2 linked regions of the Coturnix japonica genome follow. The protein of the gene in region 2 purifies or fractionates together with the protein of the main gene of each other region. This does not show direct contact. Links are inferred from orthologs where the notes say so. Each region holds a gene or a part of one and is shown on either strand. Other genes may lie near its edges.

The links. Proteins that work in one complex are often made in the same cells at the same time.
Region 1: the proteins of RALBP1 (region 2) and REPS2 purify together in Homo sapiens (affinity purification with mass spectrometry; 3 studies listed by BioGRID and IntAct, counting the BioPlex papers as one, with this or other methods). This does not show direct contact. The link is inferred for Coturnix japonica from reciprocal best matches to the Homo sapiens genes RALBP1 and REPS2.

The regions. Positions count from the first base shown.
Region 1 is NC_029516.1:109,364,143-109,368,585, forward strand, and holds the start of REPS2 (ralBP1-associated Eps domain-containing protein 2), read right to left. Parts: upstream 3,222-4,443; 5' UTR 3,163-3,221; coding exon 2,965-3,162; intron 1-2,964. UniProt on the Homo sapiens protein: Involved in ligand-dependent receptor mediated endocytosis of the EGF and insulin receptors as part of the Ral signaling pathway. By controlling growth factor receptors endocytosis may regulate cell survival.
Region 2 is NC_029517.1:88,792,764-88,796,757, forward strand, and holds part of RALBP1 (ralA-binding protein 1), read right to left. Parts: intron 2,153-3,994; coding exon 1,803-2,152; intron 283-1,802; coding exon 121-282; intron 1-120. UniProt on the Homo sapiens protein: Multifunctional protein that functions as a downstream effector of RALA and RALB. As a GTPase-activating protein/GAP can inactivate CDC42 and RAC1 by stimulating their GTPase activity.

The DNA.
Region 1 (4,443 bases), on a different chromosome or scaffold from region 2:
TGACAGTTTTCCTTTCCTCTTCTTGCTGTAACACTGACAGAAAATTGCACCTCCTCTTTGTTTCTTCCTGACTCAAAGACGTCAGCTGGATGCAGTTTCTCCGCGTGCACTCCTACCTAACACCTCTTTGACAGAGCTGGTGTTCTTCACTCAGCTCTATCACACTTCCAGTGCTGAGAACAGTTTAATGCCAAATTACACAAGGAGCACAACAGAGTGAACTTTACTTTTTGTCAAGCAACAATAAGTCCGGGCTTTTCTCACTCAGAAAGCTCCTATTTTAACTGCCACACTTCTTTACCGCCCAGGGAAAACATTCTAAGCAGACAGTTACACAGTATCACAGTATCACAGTCTGGTGCGGGTTGGAAGGGACCTTAGAGATCATTGAGTCCAACCCCCGGGATTCGAGCCCTGTGTAGCAGAGCAGCACTTCTACCACTTGTGCCACAGGGGATTCGAACCCAGGACTCTGGTGTTGCAAGCGGCACTTCTACCACTGCGCCACCGGGGCACACACAGTCAATGCCACCCTGGCTACCACACAGGTAGATATTCATGCCTATGAAAAATAAATGATGGAAAAGTGAACCCTTGCTGGTATTTTTCCAATGAAACAGCAAATAGCAGCTTTGCAATTTCTCTCCCTTCCTCCCTTTCCCCCCTTTTTTTCATGTGTTCACACTTCTGCTTTTTGAACACAACAGGACAGTTAAACAATTCAGTGTAACTATAGAGACAGGTCACCACAAACAACAAAATAACACACAGACCATGCAGAGGAAAAGCAAGACCCCCTGGTCTGAATCCTCCATTCACACAGAACTGGACAGAGAGGTCTAACTAAAAAATGCAGCTCTGTGCAGCCTCCAAAGTCATACAATTAGTACTTGTCATCCTCAAAGCTCAAAATAACACAGTTTGTTCATTTGTGGAGGAAGGAACGCGCTTCCTTAATAGAACTGGATCTCTGTGCTGATACTGCAAGCCCACAAATAAGACTACAGTGTATAAAAACTAGAATTAAAGATTGCATCAACAACCAAATGAAAATTAATTGAGTAAAAAATTAATAACAAAGGCAGGCAGTTCAGTGTAAAACTTGACTCCTATCCTCCTTCTCCCTCACTTCTCAGAATCTTCACAGACCCACAGTAACGCAGGCAAACAGAACTAGCACAAGGCATCTCTTTGCTGATCAGCCGATGGTAACTACAGGAAGCTCTATTTTACCTGAAATCCATGCAAACCTCTGTCCATTGGCATGTGGCATACAACACAAATGCATTTGGGGACCGCAGAGACAATGAGCAAAGGCTGTACTCACCAATGGCCAGCTTTAAAATGGGGTCATTTTTTATTTTAACAAGCCTGTGTTTAATAAATCTGCGTTCAAGCGCTTCATTCTTAGCGAGACTCGCAGCTCTTGGGTGCATACCATCTGCTCCTTCTGACCCGACTGCTCTTGGATTGTTTCCTATTTACTCCAGCACTTCCTCTTCTGGCACATTCCCTCACATTACCTATCTGCTCTGGAGGAGATTTCCCATTACTCAGTTCAGCACCTTTCCCAGTCAACAAGAAATCTCTATCAAAGCTGGATAACAAAAAGCTCCTTCTTTCACAGAATCACTGAATGGTTTGAGTTGGAAGGGACCCTCAAAGGCCATCTAGTCCAACTCCTCTGCAATGAACAGGGACACCTACAGCTACATCAGGGTGCTCAGAGCCCCGTCCAGCCTGACCTTGAGTGTCTCCAGGGATGGGTCATCCACAGCCTCTCTGAACATGTCTCTCTGTTCTATCTCATTACTACCCAACTATAACACCTTGAAGGCAACAGCACCAGCTCAGCACCTTGAAAAAAAAAAGAAGTAGCTTTTCTCACATCAGAAGGTTCACATTTACCCTTTTTTCTCCCCCGTTACTCATTTATTTTTTAACTCATAACTCATTTATTTTTTCCACTTCAAAAAAGACTGTTAATAAGAGCACCTGACAGCAGCAGGCTCTGGGACAGGAGTTCCAGCCACAGACCATGATTGGTCTCATATAAACAAGAGGGGGTGGGCAAGAAAGGGGAGAGAAACAGTCCAGGTCCCAAAGGCCTTATTAACCTGACAATTCCTGAAGCCAATTACAGACCTGTTTCTCGGTAATATTCTCTTCACATCATAAATATACCTAGAAATAATCTAAAGCTGGGGGGGAGGGAAGTAAAAGAAGTTCCAGAATATTGAAAAATGGCGTTTCCAGGCTTAAGTTTCACATTAAAACCCAAACAACCCCCAAAGCGAACCACAATAACACAGCAAGATTTACTTTAAAGTTAGGATAAGGACTTATATAGCAAAAATAAGAAGCGTTTTTCTACAACTCTACACCAAAAACACAGAAATCTGCTGACAGGGTTTTAACACACTCCGCAACTAAGACTTGCTACTTGAAATTGGACTCTCGGCGCTGGCTCTGTGGGCAACCCTTGTTCTCTCCACACATAACGAAGGCCACGGTGCGACTCAAAGCCAAGCAGCACGGCTGCCTTTTGTGTTTACACAACTGGCAAACAGCGAAGCGAGGACAAGAAAAAAAAAAACACGCAAGAAACATCCCCGCTTCCACCTGTGCGATAGGGATTTATGTAACGCGGAGCCACGAAGAGACGGGCTGACAGCTCCCGGCACACAGCGGAGTTCCACTCCCTGTGGCCGCAGCCAGGTACCGCCGTGCTGCTACCCAGCGCTAACAGCGCTTCTTTCTGCTTGGCAAATAAAGGCCGCCAACAAACAACCCCCCGGCAGTGGGGCTCCCCTCCTCAACCCCGCGGGACCTCGGCTCCCACCTGAGCTCCGCCGCAGCCCCCAACACGGAGCTCTCGGGCTGCCACCGCCGATGCACGGCGGGGTTGCGAGCTCCCAGCCCCCCCTCACTCCCCCTCCTCACTCCCTCGGCGCCCCGACCCACCTGGTGCAGCGTGTCTGGGGGCAGCTGCGAGGCCCGGAATAGTTCCCCCACGCTGCTGCCCCCGGCGGCCGCCTCGGGGGGCGGGCAGCACCGCGAGAAGAGCTCCGAGTAGCGCTGCTGCTCGCTCTCGCTCAGAGGCACCAACACACCCGCGGCGGACACGGCTGCTGCAGGCCCCCCCGCCGGCCCCTGCTCCATGGCGGGGCACAGCCTCTCGGCGGGCAGCGGGTGCCGAGCCGACGGGGGAGGTGTGGCGGCGGCGGGAGGGAGGGAGGGAAGGAGGGAGGGAGGCGGTGCTACGCAGCCACAGGAAGGTGCAGGCCGCGCCCCCTCCCGCCCACCGCACGGTGCGGGGCCGCAGCGCCCCGGGGAGTGCTGCCGTGCCGCAGGGCAGCGCTGGTGTGAGAAGCTGTGTGCATCCATGGGCAGAGAGGAGCCAAGCAGTCTCTAGGAAAGTGCCGGCTGCTGCTGAAGGAGCTGCCTGGGCACTGTGTGATGCACAGCCCTGCCAAAAAGTTGGGTCGTGAGCCAGCAATGTGCCCTCACAGCCCAGAAAGTCAGCCGTATCCTGGGCTGCGTCAAAAGAAGCGTGGCCAGCAGGTGATCCTGCTCCTCTGCTCTAAATAGGTGTGGCCTCACCTGGAGTACTGCATCCAGATGTGGAGACTGCAGTACAGGAGAGACATGGAGCTGTTGGAGCACATCCAGAGGAGGGCCACAAAATGATCCAAAAATGATCACAACTCTCCTGTGAAGACAGTATGGAAGTTACTTTATCCTTTCCACACCATGCAACGGTGCCTCCTAATCTGCACAAAACATGCAAACCTTTTATTCCTCTAATCTGCCATGAATACGTGTGTCGATCTTCTCAGTGCTCAGAACGCTGCGTGGTTGTGGTCTGCAGTTATTGCCAGCTGCATAGCTGATAATTACGATAAGAGTGTTAGGGGACTGTTAATAGGGAAATCTCTGTTCCCTCGGGGATAGTGGATGTTTTGCTGTGGTGTTTTGTCATTGTTTTATAACAATATGTTTTATATCATTTGGAAAGAGAGCAGTTGTGTTAGAAAGTGAACTCTGGAGCCCAAATTAGAAAACTCAGAAGAGCAAAGTGAATCAATCCCCTGGAGAAGGTGCAGCAGAGCAAAGGCTGGGCTGCATCAGGGCTTGCCAGGTTCTGTCAGGTACAAGGTGCTAGTCAGAGGAAATGGTATTAACAGCATAGAGATGGCACAGGGCTTTACCTAACTACAGTGTGTTTAATAACAGCAGTCCTGTGAAATTAGGGTCTGACTAACTCAGTATTTGTGCTGTTTGCATCACAAATACTCCCTTCTGCAGCACCCCAGCCAGACACCAGAGGACCTCCATCAGTGTGTTGGCCCTAGTTTCTCTAAGTTCTTTGAGTGGGACCATGGCAGGAAAACAGTGACAATGCCCACTGCCGTAAGTACTGTGGTCTCTCTTAACAGCCAC
Region 2 (3,994 bases):
AAAGCACGTGGTGTCCCACAACAGGACAACTGTGGTATAATTACACTCTTAGGAACGTTTACTGCTGAATTTATCAAATCCAGGACAAAACCAAACAAAACAACTGAAGTATTCACCAACCTGTCGCCTGATTTCTTCTTTGATGCTTTCCTGTGTCTCTGGAAGTGCTGGCATAGTCGCCATATTTGACCAACGAAGAGGTTTTGTTACCTGTTTCAGGGTCACATTCCCAAAGAACTCTTGAACGTGTGTAAAAAGTACATACAGGACACGGTTGCTGATCTGAAAGAAAGGGCATGGGAGTAGTTCAGATGATTTCTTCACATAATCTGCACCTGTGAAGCACAGTATCTTTCTCCAGAAGTGCAACGACCTTCCATCACTCACAAATACATTGAATGGTTTGGGTTGGAACGGATCTTTAAGATCATGTTGTTACAACCCCCTGCTATGGGCAGGGACACCTCCCTCTAAACCAGGTGGCTCAAGGCCACATCCAGCCTGGCCTTCAATGCTTCCAAGGAGGGGCATCCACAACCTCATGGGACAGCCTGTTCCAGTGTCTCACTATCCTCACAGCAAAGAATTTCTTCCTAATATCTAGTCTGAATCTACTCTCTTCCAGTTTAAAGCCATTTCCCCTCATCCTGTTACTACCTGCCCTTATAAAATGTCCCCTCCACAACTTTCCTGTAGGTCCCCTTCAGGTACTGGAAGGCCACTGTAAGGTCCCCCCAGAGCCTTCTTTTCTCCAGGCTGAAGAGCCCCAACTCTCTCAGCCTGTCCTCATAGGGGAAGTGCTCCAGCTCTCTGACCACCTCTTTCTTTTTGCTCATGCAAAGGTGGAAGTGGTAGCAATAGGTAAGCAGGAGCACCAAACATTCTGTGCTATGGATGGGCTGCCTTCTCTCTTCTCCCAAAACTTCAGTATTTTCACCAACTTCTCTCTCAGATTCAAAACAGTTTAAAAAAAAATGGCTTGAAAGGAGCTGTTATCGTATTCCTTGCTTTAAAATGAGACAGAAGCAAATATTTATTCAGATGCTATGTCTTCCATTAACATTTAAAAACGCATCCTGAAAGAAGGATTGGAATTCTGTATACCCAAGTCATAGAATCATAGAATTACCCAGGTTGGAAAAGACCTTGAAGATTATCAAGTCCAACTGCACCCTAACCATAGTACCCTAACTCTAACAACCCTCTGCTAAATCATATCCCTGAGCACCACATCCAAATGGCTCTTAAACACATCCAGGGATGGCGATTCAACCACCTTCCTGGGGAGCCTATTCCAGTACATAACTACCCCTTCTGTAAAGAAGTTCTTCCTAATATCCAACCTAAACTTGCCCTGGCACAACTTGAGGCCATAAGTCATCACTGCATCAGCAAGATCTGTTTGCAGTACAGGGTTCAGTGGCTTGATAGTAAAATTAAGCAACAGAATAGTCTTCACTGAGTCATCACTGCATCAGAAACACAGAAATCCTACATCCGCTTGAATTAGCAGATTAATTCAATGTTGAATTACTTGTGCTCACGGAATAAAAAAGCCCAGTAAGCAATCTTTGCACTGTTTTCATAACAGCAGATACAAGACTAATACTATGCAAGCTCACCTTCAGAAAGTCTTCCCCCTCCCTACTTTCTGTGCATTTTATGTTCTCAAAGTATAAAGAAGAGATTTAATTCAGCTTAATTGTATCAGACAGTGCCTGATTCACACATGCAAGAGAACTCCTATGAAGAAACCTTTCTTGTGCTGACACTCTGCTCTAGCACCTGTGTGAGGCACATACCTGGACAGTAGGGCTGAGCACTATAGAAATATTCTGGATGTTCATTTTTGTTTCCAGTTCCTTTGCGATAACGTGGTCCATATGCACAATGAGCCAAGAAATGAGGAGATGGTTACACTCCGGCAGCTCTTTCAGCAGCCTCTGGCACTCCTGGACTTTCTCAGCTTCTGTGCTCTTTCCACAAGCATCTTCAAAGCGGGGCATTAGCTCTTTGGTAAGCAAGTTTTCAGGCAGTTCACGTAGGTACTGCTTCAGCAAGCTGGCTACTGTATTGGGCTCATATTCTTCCAGGTTGGGAGATTCTTCTCGGTCATAGGCTGCTTTGAGCTCATCGACTTTTGACTTTATTCCTGAAAATATTTAAATAAAGAATTAAGATGATTTTTCAGCTCTACATATATAATAGTTGTAATACTCTTATTTATTTATTTCTTTGAGAAGCTCTTCTCCTTACAAATTAAACTAATTGAAGAATAGCTTTTAAAGATCATTCACATGTGACAAAACTGCAACTCAGGATTAACATGGTCACTGTATTTAAAAGCACTGACCTCAGAGCTTCTGCCTGACATCCAATCTAAGCCTTCACTCTTTGAGTTTAAAACCACTCCTCCTTGTCCTATCACTGTTCACCCTTGTAAAAAGATGATTCCCCTTGTTGTTTCTCTCCATTTAATTTCTCCCAAGTTGTTCCATAACAGCTCTCAACCAAACAGCAAGTATGTCCTTATCAACTCCAATACTGTGCAAGAAATTCTAAACGTGAGCCTTCCTCTGTGAAACCAAGCCCACACAGTTTAGTTTTCAGGTTTTCAGCTGGAGAAATCTCACACAGCATTTTGGTTTGAGGCAATGTATGAATAAACACGGGGAAGTTCTTCACTAGGAGAGTGGTTAGGCCCTGGAACAGGCTGCCCAGGGAGGTTGTGGATGCCCCGTCCTTGGAGGTGTTCAAGACCAGGTTGGACAGGGCTCTGGGCAACCTGATCTAGTAAATGTGTATGTTTGGTGGCCCTGCCAGGCAGGGGGGTTGGAACTACATGATCCTTGAGGTCTCTTCCAACCCGGGTCATTCTGTGATTCTGTGTGTGAAACAGGTGTTCATGTAATTATTCAGACTTGCCAGTATTTTTGCACAGTGTTTTTACAACTCAGTGACATTCAAATCTTCCTCAAGTCAGAAAAGTTTCTTTCTTAAAGCTCAAACACCCATTTGGCTTTCAGTGACTTACTGCACTGCCATATGTTGGCTCTGGTACAATAAACAAAGCTGGGTGCACCCAGCCCACGGTAAATGCCAGCTAAAATGTGCTCTATTTCATGTCCCAATAAGTTACTCATCACAAGTGCTGGTACAGTGCTAGGCCGTTGTCATTCAGAGCCCTCAATTTAAGTACTCTCGCACACACCAGAGGGTGCTATTGCACTGGAGAACACCTGGATGGTACAAACATCAAAAACACCTTATGGAAAACAAACCTCCCGTGAACATCCCAACTCAGCCTGCCCTGAAAATAATGTACTGCCAGAATGGTCTCACGGGTGAGACTAAGAAACTGCTGAGCATCCCTACCAAGTACCATGCAGACCATCAGCATAAGGACAGCTGAATGAAGACGTTAGCAATTGTTTGATCACTGCTCTGCAGCACTGCTAATAACTTGTTCCGAGTGCTTTCCCCCAAGTTCCTTTTCTCACTTGTTTCTGCTCCCTTGAACGTGCACACTGAAACACTTGCTTGGGTTTCACTGCAAAGAGTTCACAAAGGGATTGTTTTGTTTAACACAGCTACAAACCACGCTGCTTTATGTAAGCAGGTGTTACACAACTCCTGTGGTTAATTATCCTGCTGTGGCTAAGCTTAAATGCGAAACTTGCATTTTCTGCTTATTAGTGACTTTGCCCAAACAAAAGAAGCTTTTAAAGAAGAAAATTATACACAGTAAAAAGCAACAGTGAGAAGCTTAAGTCGTAAAATGGTTATTTCTCATCCTTGCTTTTCCCATCAACTAGAATAGCATTTCTCATGCAGAAGTAATACAAATAAAAAGAATACAAGCTTGCCAATGCAGCACATTTTATTCATACTTACCATCACCCCATCACAACAGGTCTAATTAGATATATTTTTACCTCCTTTAAGCAGTACCATGACATGAGCTACTTTTCTGGTATTTCAGGGTTTGCTTAGC